Linked DNA regions of Struthio camelus. The protein of the gene in region 2 interacts with the protein of the main gene of each other region in a pairwise test. Links are inferred from orthologs where the notes say so. Each region holds a gene or a part of one and is shown on either strand. Other genes may lie near its edges.

The links.
Region 1: the proteins of RBM15 (region 2) and NAV2 interact in binary tests that used the Homo sapiens proteins (3 or more experiments, as listed by UniProt). The two-hybrid records come from large-scale screens. The link is inferred for Struthio camelus from reciprocal best matches to the Homo sapiens genes RBM15 and NAV2.

Annotation. Positions count from the first base shown.
Region 1 is NC_090946.1:31,808,105-31,819,809, reverse strand, and holds the start of NAV2 (neuron navigator 2), read left to right. Parts: upstream 1-6,663; 5' UTR 6,664-6,766; coding exon 6,767-7,024; intron 7,025-11,705. UniProt on the Homo sapiens protein: Possesses 3' to 5' helicase activity and exonuclease activity. Involved in neuronal development, specifically in the development of different sensory organs.
Region 2 is NC_090965.1:4,444,574-4,455,813, reverse strand, and holds the start of RBM15 (RNA-binding protein 15), read right to left. Parts: upstream 4,536-11,240; 5' UTR 4,452-4,535; coding exon 1,566-4,451; 3' UTR 1-1,565. UniProt on the Homo sapiens protein: RNA-binding protein that acts as a key regulator of N6-methyladenosine (m6A) methylation of RNAs, thereby regulating different processes, such as hematopoietic cell homeostasis, alternative splicing of mRNAs and X chromosome inactivation mediated by Xist RNA.

The DNA.
Region 1 (11,705 bases), on a different chromosome or scaffold from region 2:
CTTCCTTCTGTGATATGCTCATTGATGTGATTCTAGTCACAGGTGTTTTCTTAGCCTTTCCTAATACAAGAAGCCAAAGGCAGTGTCACACCAGGCATAAAATAATACAGGAGCTAGTACTGTCAACCTTGAGGAAACAAAGGGCACGTGAATGGATTAAGAAAACCCAGATGCACATCTCTCTTGCGGAGATTTGATTTTCAAGGATCCTTCTAAAATGGTATTGAAATATTTACTCCAGGTGCTGTCAGTAGCATGAAAAGGTTCTGTCTTTTCTTACAATCACAAAAGTAAATCAGTAAATCAAGGTGACCTGTGAGTTGGCAGGACACAGCTAGTCTGTTAGGAACGTAAAGCTAATTCAGGCATATGCATGCTACATAGTGGCCACTGCTGTGACTACAGTATAGACATATATATCATGTATTTAAATCTTAGAGCATTGCAGAAAGTATTAATGGAACAAGCTCTTGCATTCCTCTCCTCTTCCACTCCTGTTCCTGATGAGTTTAAGCGTGAGGAATTTATTTACGTGCAAACTGAGTCAGAAAGAGGGGCATGTATCTTTTCAAGGCCTGTCACAGAATCTGCATTAATAAATCTGTCTCCGGCCAGCTAAGAGCACACGGACCTCTAATTCTTCCTTTTTATTAGATTCTGAGCAAATGCCAAGGCTATAGATCCAAAAGCACCTGAAACATTACAAAATCGGAGAAACAGATGTTGATCAAAATGCATTTGCTAGGCAATATAAATTTATGTAGCCTTTGAAGGAAGTCCTACCGGACTTAGGTGTTCATGCAGTCAAATGATAAATGCAACATGAATGTAAAAAATGCCAGTCTGGAATCAGATGGGCAAATTATGTCAGTGCAGTTGTGATGCCAGCCTCTGCCGTTCATGTTCACATCACAACTACACAAAATGTTCTAGCACAGCAGCAGTATTAGATAAGTACATTGTTCAGAAGATGCTCACTTAAAACAGTGTCATTTTGTGTCACCATGCAGAAGTTTCTGCCTGCATCACTAGTGCGTCTCACATATTCTGTCTGCCTCCGGAAAATGAGCGTAATAGGTATTTCCTACCCAGATGGACCTTACCTTGTTTATTTGTTAACGTAAACAGAGTTATAAAATGAGGTGGAGTCAACCCAGTGTGAATTAGAAATATGTTGGAGGATTACAGAAGGCATTTTAGATCAGAGTTAGTGTAATACAGACAAGATTTCTGTGAGGAAAACTTGGTTCTGTTCCCAGTTTTTTTTCTTTTCTCATTGCTCTATATAAAGACCTCACATGTGCAGATTGTAATTGCTGTGGCGAAAGGATGCTGAATTATATAATGTCTCTACCAATGTTCCTGTTTTCTAACTGCTAGAGTTCCTCATTTGGGAAGACAACAAAATATTAGGCACTTGATCCCATTTACATGTTTATAAAGTTCTTTCATGAAAAACAGTGACATAGGTCTGCAGGCAGGATTAGGCTTTTACAAAAATTTGCACACAGGATCAGACGTTTACTTCTTTGATAGTGTGATCAGCGACAAAAGATGGATTTGAATGTGTAAAATGCCAGCAGTACCAAAAATAGGTCCATATTTATCCCTGTCGTAGCTCCACTTAGGTTAATGGAGTTGTGCCAAGGCCGACTATGCCCACAGCCTATATAGGACAGCTAGCCTTCTGGCAGGAGGGAAGCTTGACAAGACTGCTTTTGTAGGAACAATTAAACCTTCTGATATTGGCAGTACCTAGTGACGTTTTAGGAACATTTAACTGGACTTGAAATTATTATCTTGGAGCTTTCAGATATATCTATCATGCCTGAAAGACAAAGAAAGCATTAATAAAGGTGTCTTCAAGCATGGAATGAGTTTAGTTCCATCAGCAGTTCTGAGTTATCAGGCCGGTTAGCAAGGTTTTAATTTACAATAAGAATTGTATGTATTTTTTCACTTGCACTAGTGTAACATTTGGCTTCATTGTGGATGGATATTAAATAAGGTTTGAAAGAAAGGTCTGATTCTCTGATCCTCCGTATGCATTTCATAATGCTTTTTGTTTTACTTGAAACATCCATGTGCAATCCATGTAGGCATTTTCTTTCTACTTGGATTTGGAGATCCTGTTCTATTGTTATGTGATAGTGTCTCAGCAATGAAAGCAGCTTCAATGGTTTGAGTTCTGGAAACAGTATATATTTCATCTAGTTTGTTGTTTTTCATTCTGTTTACTGGTCGTGTTTTGGAAAATGTGCTGGCTTGCCTGTAAGCTCTTGAACTACAAAGTACTCAAATAGTTTCCACAATGTGTTAAGGCCTCTAGCTCGTTTGAGTCTGCTCACTAAAACTTCAAGGATATTAAGCTAGTTCTCAAGACCAGAGTCTTGGCACTTCAGGTGATGCTATGGGGTACTAAGTAGGCACAATCTGAATCCTGAGCAGTGGCATCTCCTGATTTTAGAAATATCCATATCACTACTCCCCTGCACCCTGCAAAGTAAAATGCCTGTTTTATAGCATTTTTCTCCTCCACATCCCCTCAGCCAGGGAGTAGGTGGATGCTTGCTGGACCACAGGTGTGTAAGGGGGAAAGAGGGAAGATATAATTATTCAAGCCAAGATCTAGTCAAACATAAAGCTGCAAGGGGATGTTCCCCTAGTGAGGCTCATCTGATACTTGTGGCAGGAATGATGATGCTCTTGCTTTCTGTTTAGATAGTTAATATTATTTTCTCATCTTAAAGCTAACTGAGGTATAGATATTTGATTCAAAAAGGAGAAAACTCGTTGGACTTCTTGAAGAGGATAAGGAAGTTAGGTTCGCAGATGTCATTGACTGTCAAAGAAAAGTAATTTCTTTTGAAAATCTGAGCTTTAGAAACAGGTATAGTTCATAAATCCAATTATAAATAATAACTAATAATTTCTAAAGATGGACCAAAATTCATGTTGTCCATCTTTGCAAATATAGCTTGTATCTTGACGTATTAATAATTTATGACCTCATGTTATGGCTGTACTCCCACTGCATTTTAGTGGCATTATACTGTAGTGTTTGGAGAGATAGAACAAAGCATGGATAACATGAAGAAAAAAAAAAAGTACTAGGTGGCAATGGATTATTAATATAAAATTTTGCCCCTAGATAATGACTTTTTATTGACCCCATAAGGGAAAGGCACAGTAATTCTAGGCCACTCTTCAGCAGTGTATCAAGAATTCACAGTAAATCTTGGGTCCACATTGCTGATTCAGCAAAACAGCTGGCAGGAGCATAGTCTGCGGGTATTCAGAAAACAACTCTCTCATTTTAGAAAACAGGACCACATACCAAGAAATAGAGAAAGCAGTCTCCTCCAGCTAGGATATTCAATTGACCATCTTAAAAGGATGAGCTTCAATAATTATTAAAGTAACAATGAAAGGAATAATTGTCACTTACTCAAATTAACTTTGTATTTGTTTTGGTATCCTGTCACCTAGCCAGTTTTCCAAGATACAAACAGAGTAACAAAACCTGGCAAGTTCTGTGTATCTGGTATTGGTGGCCTGAACCTAATAAAAGATGTAAGTGAAGAACAGAAAATAAAGCTGTCAGTTAGATCTTCTAATAGCTTTTAAATATTGTTATATTTTATTACAGATCTAAGATTAGCCTTGTTTTCGGACTTGGATCTTTTTCAAGGTTTTCTTTCAGTCCAACCTTTTTTTAGCTATCAAGGCTAAGTTTTTCAGCACTGAACAATAGAAATAGTATCATAGCATTTTACACATTTCTGCTCCCCTAACTACCAGTCCTTTTATATGGTAAATGTGACTTTGTCAGGTTGTTTGGCTTTGAAATTTTCTTCATAGTAGTTTATAAACAGACTGTGCATCATGCTATGCCAATGGAATAAACATTGGAGTATCTATCTCAATGAGATGGATGGATGGAGGATGAGCAGTTTGTAATCTGAGATTAGTGGATAAAAGAGACTAGAGTGAAAATACAGTTACTCATAAAAAAAAAAAAAAAACTTCTCAGAGTTAATGCAAAGCAGTCTGCAGAGTTGGTATATGTGAAAGCAGGAGTGCCAAAAAATCCTCCAGCAATGACAACAAAACCCCTAGTTAACGTGTGGACTTCACATAAAGTGGAGGAACTTTAATTATGGAATCAGTGGGCAGTGCTAAGCAGGAGACGTGGCAGACTGCAGTGAGGATAGTATGTCCAGGCTTTATTTTTTGTTTTGAATAATCTAGTTAATGGGAGACATCCAAAAAAACTCATAAACACCCCCTCCCCCCCCCCCAAAAAAAAAAACCAACCCATAGTACAGCTAATGTGTTCTGAAACGGAGGTTTCTGTTTGTGGAGAGGGAACTTCTTTTACATTGAAACGTTGAGGAAGAACAGTGCTTTGCAATCAACAGAGCACGCACTCTCACTTTAATTTGCAGTACTGCTGCTGCCTCACTGTGTAACCCTGGATAAGTCATTTAAGATGACATCCACAGAAAGATTCAGCATGCAGGTCTCATGTGATTTCCAATTTAGCTGCCTAAATCCTAAAATGCTATCCTAATCCTGCTGCCTAATCCTGGAGATACCTACAGTCCAGAAATGCCTCAGTTTTCTATCTGAAAAGGTCTCAGGTGTAAAAACCTCCCTATTTTTTCATATTAAAAACTACCAAAACACATGAGGGTGTCGGATAGCCAGGACCCAGCTCCCCCATGAAAAGGGTTGCTAAGCATGGTTCAGTCAACATGATCTGAGAAGTTTAATTTGGTATGTTTGCTGGGAGCAATGCTGATGGCCTTGGCTGTGTGCAGTAGTGGGCTTGTGCTTCCTCTGTCCTGCCAAGTAGCTCAGTGGCTTAACACTCGTCCAGGATGTACTTCAAGGATAGGTTCACTGCTTCTCTCTGCTTGCTGGGATCCCTCCTATCGCTACCCTCCTGCTGGTTTTGTACTGATTCGGTCCAATCTTAGGCAAAGGGGCAGGTACGAACATAAAAGTGAAGGAAGTGCCACTAGTCAAAGGTAATGCAACATGCAGGGTTGTGATGAGGATTTAAAAGAAACCTTTCTTTTCAATGTCTTGTGTTGGCTTTGTGAATCTTGTTCTGAGGCACCTGACTGTGTATGCAATGCAAGAAGCCTACAGGGTAACTCAGGGCCTTTGGCTGTCGTTACAGGCTGTCTGAAAATGAGGCACTGTGACACTGTATATCATGGTGCTAAAATTCCTGATGAGTCCTAAACTATCTCTCAGTGCCTTGAATTTCCATGCTTATAATCCTTCCCTGTCTAGGACGGTGTACTGTGGGCAGAAACAGGGATATGTAGAGCTAAAAAATGTGCAATATTTAGCTAGAACGAGGGATCTGGGGGCTGTAATGAATCATGCTATCAGCAGAGCAACATGGGGAGGAACCTGTGACTCGCATCGCTGGGTTGCGCTGAAGGATTCCTAAATGCAAAGTGCCAAGTGCTGTTATAATTGGGTTAGATTGCTCAGTGCTTATTCAAATTCCTGTTGATACTGGCAGTGGGAGTTTTCCTGAATAAAAGCTGAACAATGAGTCATCTCCAGGTGTTTTGATTTGAAAATGCTTTTTTCGAAACTGGTAAGAAACTCCCTGTGTGCAGCCTCTAAAGCATCTTCCCCGTTGGAGCAGCTCCGCCGTGAGCACTGCAGCACAGCTTGCACAGACCGGGCTTTGTACTTTGGCACCGTCATGGAGTTTCCTGCCAGTCAGAGGAGTTGAAGCCACTCCTCTCTTGCGGAGAGATTTTGTTTCTGATTTGAGTCGGGAGGACCAATCCGGGGGCCGCCCTGTTTTTACGGTGCTGTCAGATTGCAACCTTCTCCTGCTCCGGCTAATCTCCCTAGCCTTCTTTGGTGTTGGCACAGCAGGCTGCCTTTAACACGCACAATGTGCTAGCCGTTCAGTGCTGAAACCTGTTTCAGTGCGGGTGTTTAAAATGAGGTGGTGGCTGCTTTCCCTTCTGTTTGACAGCTGAATTTTTTCTCCAGGTTTTCATGATCAGCACTGGGGGATCCAGGAAATTTTGTCACCACTGGCGTATTTTTATTTAAACTGTCGTCAGTGGACGTTTCTCCTTCTGCTGCAGCATCATTGTTGTCCTGTTCACAGATATTAAGACTTAAGAAGCTTGATTCTCTAAGGCTCATATCCAAGGGCATCAGTCATTAACACACTGAGCTACATCTGCTTCTTGGCTAAGACTGAAGAAAGACATCTTAAGCTGGAAATCCTGGTGCTTGCTCACTCGCTCGCTCTCTAGTGCATACAGAACAGGAGGCATATGCAGCAGCAGGTTCTTTTTTTTTATTCCAAAAGGCTGCCTCACTTTGGAGATGCAGTGACAAGATAATGGAGTAAAAGTCTCCCATTTCCAGGGAAGAAAATTACAGGAGTCAGCCAGTGAAAGGAAGGAGCAAGTTAAATAGCAGCAGGAATAGGAGAGTAAAGGAAGGAGGACAGTGGTGAAGAACTGAAAATAAAATTAGAGGAAACAGGTGGAAGGCTGACACAAAGCTGGGAGATATCTTAGGCTACAACTGTCTTTTTTTTTCCTTTTCTTTTCTTTTTTTTTTTTTTATTCTAAGCTGATATTGAAGATCCCTGCCATAAACCAGGCTGTTTCAGTACAGCAGCTTCCCAGACGTGTCCTTTTCTCTCTCCCTGCCTGCTGTTTCTACTATTGCTGCTGCTGACAGAAACGTGTTAGGAAAGCAGAAAGAGAAAATGCCAGCCATCCTGGTAGCCTCCAAAATGAAATCGGGACTACCTAAACCCGTACACAGTGCTGCTCCAATCCTGCATGTCCCAACGACAAGGACCATCCCACAACCCTGCTACCTGAAGTTTGGGAACAAGGTGGAGGTGACCAAGCCCTCGTATTCCAGCCAGATTCCTCTCAAATCTCCTAATGGACAAGAAAATGCAGGAGATGGACTCCTACCAAGGAAGAGTAGCTCGGTAGAAAATGGATTTGACACACAGGTTAGAAAACACCAAAATTTTGGGGAGGTGTATGGGGGAATTTATGTATTGTATGTGTTTTCTGAGGTAGGTAGCAGTGGTGCGAGTAGAGGTAAGAGCAAGGTGTGTATGCATGTAATAACATCTGTCTAGGGTGGTGGGATGCTTCATGTTGCACATAGTGGCATGTGTTACCAGGGGGTGATATTTTAATTTTGTTACTGTGGTGGAGCTGACAGTAGGGTTGTGAAGGATGGTGCTGTGTGTGCTCTTTCTCTGTGCTGCCTTGTATACTGGCTGTGCTTGAACTTGCGAGGTTTATTTGAGGGAGAAGGGAGAGAGACTGTTTATGGGGTGTGCTCTTTGTGCTCTTTCTGTAGGTGCTGATGGTAATGGCTGGTTTCTCTATCTGTGGTGTGGAAAGATCACTGGTTGTAGTGAATTCATTTTGTATTTGGTAGTGTGCTGTATTGGAGTATGAGCATTTTATATTTGAGGTTGTGTGGGGAGCGAGAGGGAGGCAGTATGCTCTATGTTAGATCAGATTACAGTATCATTCTCAGTACAGCTAGATTAGATTATGTAGAAATTAATATGCACGTGGAATTATCTGGTTTTTGTGCTATAAGTGCATGGCATCACAGATGCAGCACATTATGAATATGCATTTTTTAGATTTTACTTCGATGTGTAATAGTTTTGTTTTTTGTTTTGTTTTGTTTTTTACATATGCTGCTTCCTGCACTGAGAGAAGAAATGTACATTCTTCAGCTTGTTTTATTTTTATCAGCATAGTAACCTTTTCAGCATGGCTCAGATTGCCTTGTACTGCTGATGCCCCAGTGTGCTCAACAGCAGTGTAAGCAGATAGTATGTGTTAGCATACTACGATGTGAGCAAAGCAGATGGTCTGCTGCAGCAAGCAGAATTGATTAACGTTATATAAAGGTTGCTGTATAGTAGCGTGATGTATTTTGGAAACAGCCATGTACATTACAAGCTGCTTCTGCAGACATCTGAGCCTGGTAGAAGGTGGTACTGCTATACTGGGATAGGGAAGTGATGTCTGATCTTAATCTTTTTTTCTTTTCCTTCCTCAAAGAATAATGGGTCATCCCTGCCATGTAAATGTTTAAATCTGTGGCCTCACAACCCATTCTCTTAAGAAAAGCGTGACTGCTGATTGGGTGTATCTGGCCCTGTGCCCTGAATTTTAGGATATGCTGCACTTTCTTTGCTGGTAGACAGGGTGACGTCTCAGGCCAGACTGATATGACTGTAGCAGTTCCTGAGGGATTGAAAGCAGAAAAAGGAGACAGGCAAGCATTGGTGTCGGGGTGATGGCAGCAGGCTGACCGACCTGTGCATCGCATCACATGTTCTTAAGAGAGAAACGAGTACTATTTTTCGCTTGTGCTGGAGTCTGTCCTCATCATTATGAAATGTCAGCAAAATCCCATTGTATAGTGCTCTTTCTCTCAGACACGCCTTGGTTTCTGCATAGAAATTTACATTCCTGCATAAGTGATTGTTATTCATAAATACTCTCTCATCTTATAATAGATTTTAATCAGAGAGATCCTGCTAGAGTGGTAGCAGCTTACAACAGAAAGGGGAATAGTGGTTTTTTTTAACACTTACACACATGTGGAACAAAGCACATTTTGTATATACTGATGTTAAAAGAGTCTTCATGCTAATTTATTATAGTTAAACAAGAAGCAATTTTGACTAAAGGAATTTTAGGTAATTTTGGATTTTGAACAACTTCTTACTAAAAGCAGTGGGAGAAATCCTAAGTTTGTCATTCTCAGTAACCTTATTCAAGCAGTAGTCTTAGCAGATGACCAGCACCTTTTAAGGTGTGAACCAGTGAGATTTGTTTTACTCTCCATTGTCTTGGATAAACAGTCCTTTCACGTGGTTCTTATTGATGCAGCTTTGATCCCTCTGCCCACGTGAGCATGCATGGTGTTGCCATTCAAGGTACTAATTTGGGACATTCGTCTATATCTCAAGGGAGGTTTTTTCCAGATCAGTTGCCTCAGGGACACTGTTCTTTCCTTTTTCTCTCTTCCTCCATTAAGGAGGAGGAGGAGTGGGATGGATGGACACCTGCCAGATGGTATGTCAGCAACAGGAACGTTTTTCCCCTAGGAAACCTTCAGCCTACGTTCAGGTATAGAGGTGCTTGCTGATAATAAATCTCCTGAGGTTGAATCCCTAGGACTAAATATCTCAAGAACCATATGCGCATCGTATGGTGATCATGTGCTTCTCTGGATGTTTTATCTGAAGTATCAATATTACTGCCACCATTTTACTATGCAGGCACCTAGCATCCTCTGTGCCCTTGCAAGAGAGTTTAGATCCATAAATCAGACTAACACTGAATGTTTTGGCACCTCTCTTCTGGAGATCTGGATCCCCAAGTGGAATTTGCAGCCCACAGGAAGGACATATATCCTTCTGCATGGGTGGAGCGAGAGGCAGAACGAAGTTCTGATACTCAGAGCAAAAGCCTAAGAGAACAAATAAAAATGAGCAAAATCAATGTATCTCGTGCTGTATTCATTGCCAGGGATGAACCTGGAGTTTGCAGCCCCAAATTCTCTTCCAGAGTTAGAGGCCTAAGCTATTTTTATCAAAAAAATGAGGTGATACCAGACTACTTTCAATACAACCAGAAGAGCAGCATTACTTTTATAGAACTGGTTGGTAGTTAGAGCGCCCAGAGGGTGGGAAATCTGAATTCAGTTTCTATTTCAACATAAGAGAATTCAAACTTCTCTCATATCTCCAGAAACTTTCTTAAATCACCTGGACACAGGCTATTCTGGGACTATTTGGGGGACTTGCTCTCAATCCTGCTGAAGTTGTTTCTCTTTGCACTGTATAATTGAAAATTAATTTGCATGTACAGAATAAGGACAGGGAACAAGTAATTTGACCTAATGTTTAGGACACTTGTGTGCAAGGAAAGAGATAACGTGGGACATGCAAAAGATAGGAAGTATTCATTTACCTTTGTGTGCCTATGAATTTTCCTCCCCCATCATGGTATATATACTCTCATTCTGAATTTTTATATTCCTTTTTCTCTGCACTTAGTTTACTGATTCATTCTAGAGAAGAAGCCATGTCTCTCAGATTGTACGTATTTTGAGCCTGATTTTTCGGAGATCCTGGCCGCTGCAACTGATATTAATTTGAGTAGTAACTTGAAAAAATACTGAAAATCAAGGCATCACACTTGGGAAATGTGGTATCAGTGACAGCTTCTCAATTTGTTTTCTTTGGATATGATTTTACAGGAGTAAATTGGAGTTTATGACAACTGGAAGTGTTGTGCCTTAATGCCATATAAGGGCGATATGTTATTTTAAATGCTCTACAATTTATAAAAGGCATTCTTCAGTGCCTTTCAGAGCCACTTTCCAAAGAAAGGTCTGAGGATTTTAGCATTAAGCCCATTGCGAGTGCTAGTCTGAAATCTTAGGCTGATGAATCATAGCAGTGTTATTCCTATTTTATTGTCATCGATTTACCCGTTTCATTCATTTTTCTATACTAAATTCCCTGTGTTTTGCACAACAGTATCCTACTGTTGCACTGGTACTTAATTCATCCAATTTGAAAACACCGCCAGTAAATTATGCCCATGTTTACAGAGCATTGTTTTGGAAATATTTAACTTTGTTACCAGAGAAACTTCCATCGAATAGATAGCAAGATAGTGATCTCTCATGTACAAAATGGTATTTATTAGTTATTTTAAAAAGTCATTTGTATTTGACTATTAACTTTGCATTAATTATTTAAGACAGAACTAACTCATGGCTGAGCAGAAGTCTTTGGGCAGGGTGAAAGTGTGGGCAGGATGCAAGAGAGAAGGTACTGTTTCAGGAATACAGTCTGTTGCCACGTTATTGTGGAAGCCGCTAAAGGACATCATGGATTCAGTTAACGTGTTCTTTGATGTTACATTATATTCTGTAGCTGCTTCATTTTCCTTCTCTGGAGAACCTAAAAAATAATTACTGCTTGTATCTAAGTAGCTGTAGTAGCCCCACAGGGAAGAACAGGGACCTTAGGAGGTTATTGAACCTGTCCTCCTCCTAAGTTACTCTGAGTCACTAATGATAAGCATCTGTTTAACCTAGTATTAAAGAAAGTGTAAATAGGGATTCAATTACTACCTTAACCAACTTGTTTGAATGTTTAGCTGCCCTTAGTATTTTGGGGGTTTTGTGTGTTTGCAAATAGCAAACTTAAACCTCCCTTGCTGCAAATCAAACTGATTTACTACTTGTCCCTCCCGTGTCAGACTCAGAAGGCAAATGATCACTGAGTGGTTATCATGTTCTCCCTCGCTTTTCTCTTTCTCTATCCTAGACGAACCCACTTTCAACCTTTCCTCTCTTTTTTTCTGTATATATTTAGAAATATAACTCTTATAACTCTTCATGCTATCTACTTAACTCTCCTCAGTTTGTCAAGATCTTTTGTTAAGAGTTCTGTTCAAAACTGGACAATCTTCTAACTCATTAGAGCTGAGTACAGCAGTCGTCTCTTCTGTCCTATACAGGAGTTTTCAGTTGATGGATCTTTTAAAAAAGAAGTTTTAGCTTTTTGGTAACAGGTCCACCCTGTTGACTCATATATTCTGTTTGTGATTCACAAATTGTAATAAAACTGCATT
Region 2 (11,240 bases):
AGATCCTGGAAGATCTACTGAGCAAAGCAGCATCGCTTTTATATTGCCCAGGTTTCTGAAAACGCGGCTAAGTGCAAGATTACATTCTGGTTTTAAGTGCAAGATTACATTTTAGGGCCTCTAAAGTGTAAGTAGATATAGTCAGATTTACACTTCGGTTTAGAAGCTAGCTGCAACCCCCTTTCAGTTGTAAAACAGAACAACAGGGATTTAGATCCCTTCTTCCCTCATAAATGCCTGTATTAGCAAGGTGTCCAAGGTAACTGGAGAAAAGTGCCCACTGAGGGGGGGAAAGCACAAGAGAAAGTGAACCAAGTTCTTTGAAAAAGGTAAACGTTTCCTCATAGAATCATAAACAACAGATCAAATCACAGCACTTTGGGGTACTTCTAATACCTCTTCAAGATGCTAAAACACTTTAGTCCAGATGACTAAAAAAACCTCATGTAATGCCCCCTGTACTGTACCTGAAAAGTCTCTAGCAGACAGCAGTTTCTTGCTATTAACAAAGAGGTAAAATGATAATGAGAACTTTTATGTAATTAAATTATTACAGAATTAAAAGCCATCTCTGGAGAGACGCATACTTGCTTAGAGTTTGCACTGTGGAACCAGACCCCACTGTACCTGCAACTCTTTGAAAAAGGCAGTAAAAACAAAAAACCACAATATTAACTAAAGTTATTCTTAAAGCACCTCCTTGTTTCTTGCATACGAGAGTAAGCACAAGACATTCATGGTTTGTAACAAAGTCCTCAGCTATTCACCAAACATTGTCACTGCTACAAACCCAAAGTGCATACATGGGATACAATAGAACTCAGAGGAATAGGAGAAATACACCTGTTAAAAAGCATCCTTTCAGTGCATGCATTTTGGTGGACTGGCTGAAATTATCAAAGACCCAATAAAGGAATTAATGTTCTGCAGTGTACCCAAGAGCAGGTGCTAGCCACCTGAAAGAAATCAACCTTGAGCCATGCAACTCAAAGGGAAACCATTCAGGCTCCTGATGAAAGGGATCAGTCAGGCCAAAGGGCTGCTGGCCTGAGGCCTTCACAGAATTTCAATGACTCAAAAATGAGTTGACACCAGTCCACTGTTAAGTGTGTGGTTTTCCATTTAAACTACCGAGTGCTTTAAATCTGGTCTTTTAGGTTTGTAACTCTAGAGGACAAGCTATTGAATTTGCTTTAAAAATATATGAAATGAAAAAAGGACACGAATCAAAATTAAAAAGGCGGGAGTTTGTTGGTTCCCCACCCCCCCCCCCAGCTCTTGCTCTTTTCTTTTGTAAATCAAAGCAGGCCTAGCTTCCCTGCTATCCCCACTGAGAAGGGATTCTCACAATATCCTATTCACACTAATGGCTAACCAACCTTTCTGGCTTCTAACTTTATAGAAAAATGTAGTAACAGAAAAACGGGCAGGGAAAGTTACCTACAAACAAAGATCTAATTTAAAATAATGACAGGGCTGGCTAAGGCTGTATCCCATAGCACCTGGCACACGCTGGAGGGGCTGTGTGGAGGAGTAGGCAGGGTTGGGTACAGAACACAAGGGCCTTAGGATGCCCCACGGACAATGATCATGACCAGATAGTCGTCCTCTGATTTGGCCAGCGCCTTGGCCGTGGAGTCCAGGAATTGCTGGGAGAAGTCGCAGGGTGGAAAGGCGTGCAGGACCCCGCTGTTCTCCTTGTCTTTGTTGCCCCCCACAGGGAGGCTGATCACCCCAGCAGCCTGCTTTTGCTTTAGATAGGACACCAGATTCCTGAGCGGCCTCTGGGTGGAGGTGGTGGCAGCCTCGCTAGCTCCAGATGAGGAGCGGTTGTCTGATGTGCCAGGCACAGCCAAAAGGATGGCATACCCATTGGGACCTGCCACCTTGATGCGACGAGTGACCTCGTCTAGCTTGGGCTGGTCCAGACGAAGACGTTGTGTGATCTTGAGCTGACCTACTTTACCCCCAGTTGCTCCCTCCACGAGGAGACTGCTGGCAACGCTGAGGTCCCCCTGAAGCAGGTGCATATTGGACGGGAAGTTGCTGTTCTTCAGCAGAAGCATCCCCTGCCAAGCCAAGCACAACTTGGGGGCTCCCCCGGCCTGCGACGTTCCATCCTGCTGCTGCTTCTGAGGCGGAGGTTTGAGCCGCGACCCTCCACCGCCTCCTTCCGTAGCGCGTTCATCCTTTTTGGCTGGACTTTTGCACTCCTGCGCAGCAGCTGCTGCAGAAGCGCGATGCTTCCGCTCTCTTTCAGCGGAATTCTTGCGGTCGCGTTTTTCATTCTGGCCTCGCTCTAGGCTTCCCCTGCGCGATTCCCGGATAGGCGAGGGCCGCTCCAACAGGAGCAAACGGGAGGAAGAGCGTTCTGGGTCACTACTATAGCGCTCCCGCCCTCCGACAAGCTCAGGGCTGCGGTCTGGGGGAGAGGTTGTGGCTAAACAGTGACGCTTTCGGGACGAAGAAGAGCGCTCACTGTCCGGAGAACGGTCCAAGTGCCGGCCTCCATCCTCCGCCAGTCTCCGTTTCCTAGGCTGATCCCTACTGCTAGTGCCCAACTCCCTCTCCCCCCGGTCCCGCTCCAAGGACCAACCATCCCGACGGCGATCTAGGCTTTCCAGTGGGTCATAGGCAGCTGCCCGATTACTCCTATCCCGCACAGGGGGTGGCGGAGGCACCCACTCTGTCTCAGAATAAAGGTCTCTGTCGCGGTCTCTATAAAGCAACGGTGGTGTCCTGTCCCGAGCCCCCCGAAGAGGATCTGGCGGGGCCCCCCGGTGAGCCCCAAATGCAGCAGCCTCTGCCACTAGCTCATAATGAGCAGGAGGTGGCAACGGCAGAGGCTGCAGGTAGGGCTGCTGGTACCGATGCTCAGTGTCAGCAAAGTCTACGCGGAGTCGGCGATCCGGCCCACCCAAGGGAAAGCCACGCATATGGGTGCACGCTGCCTGTGCCGCGTCCAAGCTCTCATACTGGATATAGGCCCACGAATCCCCTTTGCGGTAATCAATAGTGCGAATGGTGCCAAAACGGTCAAATTCCCTGGCCAGGGCAGCAAGGGGCACCCAGGGCCCAAGGCCGCCCACCCAGAGCCTGGTAGTTGGAGTGGCTTTACCATACCCAATCTTGATGGGGTTGCGTAGAAGCACCTTTCCTGACATGGCCAACTTGGCCCGGTGCGCCATGTCCAGATTTTCAAATTTAAGAAAACCGTATGTGCTGGTCTGCCCACGGCCTGGCCTTTTGATGTCCACCTCAGTGATGACCCCAAAACGGTCAAAGGCTCGGCGTAAATCAGACTCGCTCACGGTGATGTCCAGGTTGCCCAGAAACAACGTGCGGTTGGCTCTCTGGTCGTCCTCGGGGCTGATCTCCTCCTCACCGGCTGCTCCGGCACCCCCTCCTCCTCCGCGGAAGCCCCCGGCAGCCGCCACACCGGCCACGCGCTCCAGCCCATAGGCCGGCCGCACTCGCGCTTCGTAGAAACCTCCGTAGTCCCTCTCCCTCTCCAATTCCCTGGGCAGAGGGGGCGGAGGCGGCAAGCGGCCCAGGGCGAGCTGCTGCAGCCGGTAGTCTCGATAACCCAGGGCTCCTCCGCTACTGGCGGGCGACAAGGCCCGCTGCGTTGCCCCAGCCGGGGGGTGCCGCACAGCGGCGGCTGCCGCGGCCGCCACTCCCACGGCCGTCGTGCCGTAGGGGGACTCCTTGTCCAGCAGCGCCGGGGAGCGGCTGCTGCGCCGCCGGCTGCTCCCTCCGCCACCCCCGACGTAGACAGCCTCGATTTTGAGCGGGCGGTCGTAGAGGACGAGGCGGCCGCGGGCGTGTTTGGCGGCGCGGGCATCCTCGGGCCGGCGGAAGTTGACGAAGGCCACGCGCTCGTCGGGGGCCCCGGTGCCCGGCGGGAGGCGGCTGATTTTGACGCTCACGTCGCCGAAGCGCTTGAACTCGTGGAAGAGCCCGTCCTCCACCGCCTCGTCGCTCAGCGCCGAGCCCAGCTCGCTGATCTTCAGCGTCTTGTACTCCCCGCCGGCACCCGGCTCGGAGGAGGAGGAGGAGGAGGACGGGGCCGCCGCCGGCACCCGGGACTCACCCCCGCCGCCGCGGCTGCTGCTGCTCCGCGATGGCTCCGCCGCTTTGCTGCTGCTGCTGTAGCCGTGCCGGCTGCCCCCGCCGCCGCCCGCCGCCGCCGCCCCGGCCTCGTACTCGCGGCTGCCGGCGCGGCCGGCCTTGTCCGGGTGCGGGCCGCGCCGGCTGCTCCCGCTGTTGCTCTCGGTGGAGGCCGCCGCCGCCGCCGCTTTCCCGCCGCTGCCGTTGGAGCCGCCGGAGCCGCTCGGCTTCTTGCCGCTCCGCTCGCCCCGCGCCGACGAGGAGGAGGACGCCGAGTCCTCGCCGCCGCCGCCGCCCCGCGACCGCTTGGCTTTAGCCGGCGAGCGCTCCTTGCCCTTCATGGCGGCCGGCCCCGCGGCGCCCCCCGCCCGGCCCTGCTCCCCGCCGCCGGCCTCACTGACTGACTGACCCGCCGCGCTCACGCACCCGCCGCCATCTTGGAAGCCGCCGCGGCTACGAGCCCCGCCCCCCCGGCGCCCATTGGCCGCTTAACGCGGGCCCGCCGCCCTCGTTGGCCGGCGCGCGCGTCACCCCCACCCCCCGCCCCCTCCGCGCGCGGCGGGCGCTCGCGCTGCCAGGGCTGGCTGGCGGAAGACCCGCCCGTTCCCCCCTCTGTGCCCATTCCGATTGGCCGAGCGAGCTGTCTTTCTCCGGGCCGGCCTCGCGCGCTGCGGGAGGAGGGCGCGGAAGGAGCCGCCCCGCTCGCACTTCTTCCCGCCCCGTTTGCTTAGTGGACGGTTAGAACGAGAACGGCCTTCTCATTGGTCGGGCTGCCATGTCAATCATAACCGTTCCACGGTAGGGGACCGCCCCCGCTCTTTGGCCATTGGGCTAGCTCAACTCGTCTTTCCGATTGGCTCGCCGGCCTGCCACTTGCAACGGTCCTGGCTGTGGCCCCTCCTCGCCGCTTCCCATTGGTTCGCTGGCTGAGACGCGGGCTCCCATCGTCCCTCTCAAATTCTCGCGAGCTGTATTAACCCCGCCCTCTGTCCTCATTGGCCACTGGTAACCTTTCCTTTGCTGCTCTGATAGGCTGAAGCCTATGCCTCTCCCGAAGAAGCGCGGGCTGCTACCCAAGCTTCACCCTTCGTTTATGATTGGGCGAGAAAATCTCCCCAGGCATCTGATTGGGTGCAGCCGCGTAGCTTGCGGATAGGGTAAGGAAGCGGTCAGTCACGCTTGCTCTGACTCTGATTGGTTGCAGCGAGGGAGGGGGTGGTTCCCCAGGAGCGTTCGCCGTGCGGCTGCTGGGGCGAGCTCAGAGCGCGCCGGGCCGGGGCGCGCGGTGGGGGGAGGGGCGCTGGTCTCTTCTGCTTTCCTCAGGCCGGGCGGTGCGTCAACGGCTGGGGCGCGGGGGCCAAAAGGAAAGCACAAAAAGAAAGAAAAGCCGGACCAGCCAGTATTCCCACATTTACAATTTTTCTGTCACAGAAGACGTTATTTATATTAAGGGAATTCCAGTCACCGTCCAACCGAAGCGGCTCTAACCCCGCTGACCGGGCTCCCGCTCGCTGCGTGACACCGCGTGGGCCTGGACACCTCCCGCTCCCGCCCGAGCCTCCCCTTGGCCTCTGCGTCGGAAATAAAGACTCAGATTCCCCGGGGGGAGAAAGGCGTAGGGCGGCGGGCCCTGCCGCCCCCAAGGGAAGAGCTACCCCTGCCTCCCGCTGGCCCTGCGGCCGCCCGCCCCCCAACCCGAAGTTCGCACCCCCTCCGCAGCCCCGCGGCGTTTCGATTCCTTTCTTTTGGCTGCCCTCAAAATGCTCGGTTTGGAAATTCGGAAACGTCCGAGAAAAACGCAAACCTGCAAGCGCGCTCGGAAGAACTTGGTTTAACCCGGCACTGCTACGGCCCCCCCGAGCCACGTTTACTGTCTGAAAAGTCCCCGCATCTCCGTGTCACCCGTGGAAACAAGAGAGCTCCCCAGGAGCAGCTTAATCCAACAGAAGGGGAATTGAATCTGATTTTTTAATAGCAGGCCATTAGACTGCATTTCTCCCTGTCATATCATCGCTTTCTGACAGAGATGGTACACAGCAGTTCCTGAAACCGTGGGTGGGTTTTAAATGGTGGGTAAATAGCTGCTCTCTAAATATAGACCGAGGAATGAGAAAAATTGTGTTTGAAATATATGTCGGGCTCCTGAAAATGAGATTCTCCCATGCAACGACAGGGAGTTAACCTAACATGCGTATCCGAGACGGGCCTGCTTGGCTCATGTGGATATAATTATCCTGAAAGTATATGGAAGACAGATACAATTATGTGGCTGCGGATCACCCAGATAACAGCGATCCGAAGGAATGCCAAAGAGGCCTAGAGTCACAGGCGCAGAGCGGTACCGGGTGTCTTAGAAACACAGCATCATCCACGACTCTGCCAAACGGGCTTATTGCAACCACTGCTCGTGTCTGATTCAAGCTGCTTTCCTGGGAAGACACAACCGAGTGAAAGTGCTCTGGCGGGGTTTCTTTTTCCCTCCCCTTAGAAAAAAATAAAATGCTATTCCATCTGGGTGTTAACATTTTGCAGCAACGTCTCAGTTCCAATGCCAGGGCTGTCGGAGAGGTTGCTGGAGCTCAGGGTGGGATCAGTTTAGAAGGGCGACCTGGCCGCAACCTGCTTCGGGGAGCAGAAGCTCCCAGTTAAAACAACCAAAAAAAAAAAATCCCACCACGTCGGTGTGCATCAGATGCATCCACAGCCAGTGCAAATACCCCTCGCAGCCAGCTCTCCCTCTGGGTTTCCTGTGGTTTCCGTCGGAGAATCACAGAGGCACCAAGGAGCCTCGCTCCTTGGCCAGCCTTTTTTGGAGGCGAGATGAAAACGGGAGGAAACCTACCTTACCTTATTTCAGCTTCATCTTTGAGGTTACATCTGGTAAAAACTGGAACCGTTCCACTGGCTTGAGAGGAAAAGCGTCACGTTAAACAGTTAATGATAAAGACTTGTAACTCCCCAGACTCTGCCAAGGTCCTAACCACTTCCTTGTGGTGCCTCAGTTTGTGTGTGAAACACAGAAATTAAAATTCCTCGGCTGATGACTCATAGTTTAAAAGACACCTTGGGTGAGCAATAGGACACATCACCAAAGGGACATCTGTCTGTCATTTAATCTGATTTCAGCCCTTCTTCCAATCTGCTCCTTCAAAGGGGGGAATCTTCTCCTGGATTCTTCCGCCGCTGCGTCAGCCGCGGTCAGAGATAGATCTCTGCAACAGGCAACTGGTCACTGACAGTTCGGCAGGACTGAGGCATTTCAGAGCGGGTTTTGGCACTGGAGAAAGGAAACGCAGCACCTGAAAAGAGCCCTGGAAAAGAGCACGTTTTGTCAGGCCATGAGAAAGAATACAGCGTGAGCAGGAATCTCCCCCCAGGCCCAGACTAGATAAAGAGTACTGTCTGTGTTTATATATGTGTATAAATAATTAAGGTGCCAGATGGCCCTTGAGCCCATGGCCTAGATATAAGCATCTAATTACATTTGGTGTCAATGGGAGTTGGGCATGCAAGTACCTTTGAGGACTTGGCCTGATCCTGGGTAATACTTGCATGTTGCAGAACCAAAGAAACTTGCCGTTTTCTGCAAAAGCCTTTCTCTAGCAGTTTAACTATATGTCTCCTTTTCAAAGTCTGGATTGAGAAGATCTTAGAGGAACAGGTCAACTTGACCTAGGAGGAGAGGCAAAGAGGGCTCCTTGCCTCGATCCCAAACCAGCTCCGAGTGCCACTGATTGACACTGGCAAAAGACTTGTGAGCGCCTCAACCGGGGAGGTGTTTGTTTGGCCTCCGCAGTTTGGTATTCAAGCAGGCTAACTTTCTTCCTGGAGGAGCACTTGCGTCCCAGCTGGCCATTAGAGACATCAAAATACATTAGCTTCACTTAGGCGAGGCCACAAGAGCGCTCCAGGGACGCGAGCTGCCGGCTCAGAAGTGAGCTGTCTTGCACTCTGACCTGAACGCTGCGCAGGGGAGGCGAAAGCTTCCCCTGGTTAGTCACTGCAATTCTCGCAGCGATCTCTGCAATGGCCCGGATCTAGCACTCGCAAGCAGAAAAAGCTGGAGAACATCCACCCTGCGGGATCCTGGTGAGGTTTGGCAGCGATCCGCAAGGCAGCTCCCAGCACCTCGAGGAAAGCAGGGAGGGAGCCGGTTTCTTTCTGCAGCTGAGCAAGAGGTGGCTGGGACGTGCCGGCACTCTCACCGGGAGGCAGTGTCAGAGGACTGGGTTGAATTCAAGAGTCCTCAGCCAGTCTGGTCTCCTGGATCAGCTCTTCTCCTATTACACTCACATGGTGACAGTCCCTCTAGACATGCAGTGTCAACCACCAGGAATTTCTCTGGGTTTTATCCCTCGCTTGTCCTGGAGGGGTCAGGCACGAACTGGTCCCGCTGCCTGTTTGTTCTTCTGGGTACCAGGAGCACATCCCTGTGCAGATCAGGGATCAGCGTCCTTGCGCTTCACACCGAGGTCAATCAGGAGTGACTCTGCTTGAGTTAACCGGTAGCTAAAGCCAGGCTCCCTTCCTCCCTGCTCACGCTCAGTTCAGCACCATCCCAAAGGCTCTAGGGATGACTTTTGCAGCAGTTCCCCAGGCAAGGCGGTCCCTTCACCCCTTCCCTCCCACATACCTTTTTTGCGAGCATCCTTGTCAGCATCCCACTCTGCCAGCACCACCTGGGTCCCCCAGCAGAGGATCTCAGACCGTCGGAGGTGGCTGCCTCCCTTCCCCTCCCTCCACCCCCGGACTCCCCAGTCTCCTGCTCCCAGGACCTCATCGCAGCCCCAATCTCAGGCTGCAGCCTGTCCCGGGGCTAACCCCTCTCCTACCCCAGCAGGGTCAGGCAGGCAGCCCCCAGGCCCAAGCCCCGTTGCCGGCAGAGGGCAGCGGCAGCCCACTAATTGCTGGGGCCTGATCCGGCCCCTCCACCTGCAGCCCTGGCCAGAGCCTGCTCTGATGAGCTTGGGCCTTCTGCCCTGGCGCAGCCCCTCCTGCCACCCTCGGAGCCCTTTTCTTCGCCATTTCATCTCTTTTTCTCAGCTGAGCGAGGAGTGCTCGAGTTTAATAAGTAATGAAGGAGTTTATGGAGCCATTAGCACAGTAATTGTTCACTTTCCACCTAATATTCAGAGATTAATGGAAAGGGAAGAATAAACCCCCAAAGTACAGAGAGGATCAAGGCAGCCTCGGGGATTGGGGATCCAGGATCACATTGCAGGGTCACGTCCCTCACTAAAGATCAGTGTCCAGAGGAAGGTTGGTGCTTGGGCATTAACCCATAACGAGAAAGACTTGAGCTGCCGGGCTCCCTCCATGCTCTCAGCCTCCTGCCCTTTCCCCAGCTGTCCTCCCCCGGCATGCTCCAAGGATGGCCACGTTCAGGGCAGTGATCTCCATATGAGATGGAGGCTCAGATGACTTTGGGTACCCGTCTCTGCAACACCGAGGCCTCAAAGCCCTCGGTGCATTTCTTCTCGGCTCACCGCAGCAAGGGAGGGCCCTGCTGCTCCTGGAGCAGGGATGCAGCCCAAGGAAGCTCATGGTACCTAGGGAGGTTGAGTATATCCATGGGCTGCAGCTCCATTGGCTAATGTCCCATCTCCGGTCCATCTGCCCTCTGCAAGCTGGTGCGTCTGGCTTACAGTTGCTATCTGTGTTAGGAGGAGCTTAATTTCACCACATCATCCTCCTCCACTCAGAGACCCTTTGACCAAAAAGCATGCCAGGGGCAGCAATCTGGTCCATCATCACTCTGTGCCTCCGTTCTTCCCTCTGGAAAACAGGGAGAAAAATGAGGCCGTCCAACCTCAGAAGGAGCAGCATTGCCCAGAAGAACTTAACCCTTTTGCACTTGCGCTGCGATGAGATGAGGCCCATAACGATCCAGGCAGGCCGGCGCCTTTAAACGGCTGGTGCCTCCGCTCAAGTCATTGCCATGTCACTGCACAGAGACACACTGCCATAGCCGCGACATGATGAGCGAGCACTGCAGCATCCTTGCACGAGCTGTGTCTTGCCAGCAAACAGGTGGCAGCTCCGGATGAGGGGACCCCAAGCCGATCCGAACAACTGAGGCCTGGCTCCTAACGCCGCGGACAAGCAGCTGGGGCTCTTGGGTGCCTGTCGGGTCCTTGAATGGAGGCCAGGAGACAGGTGGAAAATGGCGTGGGGGGAGAGCCCCCCTATCCCCGCTCTGAGCTATAGCATCACAGCCATGCGTGACATTTTCAAGATGAGTGGCACTTGCTCTGGGAGGAAGAGGCAGCATTAAAGGATGCTGTGAAAAGCCAGCCAGTGGCACCGATTCCCAGCTCTGAGCAGCTGAGACAGAGGCCCTTTCCCTGCTGTCCCAGTGGGGAGAAAAGCAAGGACACAGCCTGCAGCAAGAGATGTTTCTCAGCCATTTGGACTAGCAGCTGGGAAAGGACAAGAAGCACCCTTGAAAAGCTGAGCTGGAGCCTGCAGAGGGACCAGTGTCCACCCAGGGGTACAGAGAAGATGGCCCCGTGTGCCAACCAACTTGCAGAGCGCCTTGTGCCTCTCTTACACCACCGTAAGGCTCGGCACCCCTCATTCCCTGCAGTGGCAAGCGCTGCGTCACAAAGATGCAGAAGTCCTCCATCTCCCTTCAGTCTCCAGGGCATCCTGTCTCGTGTCTCACAGCTCTTCCTTGTGACACAGGTCCAGCCGCTGTGGGAGTGAAGAACTAGATGCTGGGCAGCATGCCCTATCTTCCAGGATAGCCAGTCACATCGAGGCATCTTTTCTATAGCCCTAAAGGTGAAAACACCACATCTTCACAACACATTCCCTCCTTCCCAACACCTTTGCAAGCAGAAAAGGTGTCGTGCTGAAACGTGTCACCCTTTGCATCAGGCGAGGAGCCCAGAAGATGCCAGAGACCCCTCCAGTCTAGGGAGACACAAGTGCTGACCACAAAACTCAGATTTTTGGTTTCCAGTTATTGTCCACCCCCACATTACCACCTCCAGCCATGCCTAGGTGGCCCAACACTGATTCCTCTTCCCTGCCACCTATGCACAGATTCCCACGTCCTTTTTACCAGCTCCGCTGCCTCAGTTTCCCCTTGTGGGTTTTCAGAGAGAGGGAAAGAGGGTGCACCAGCT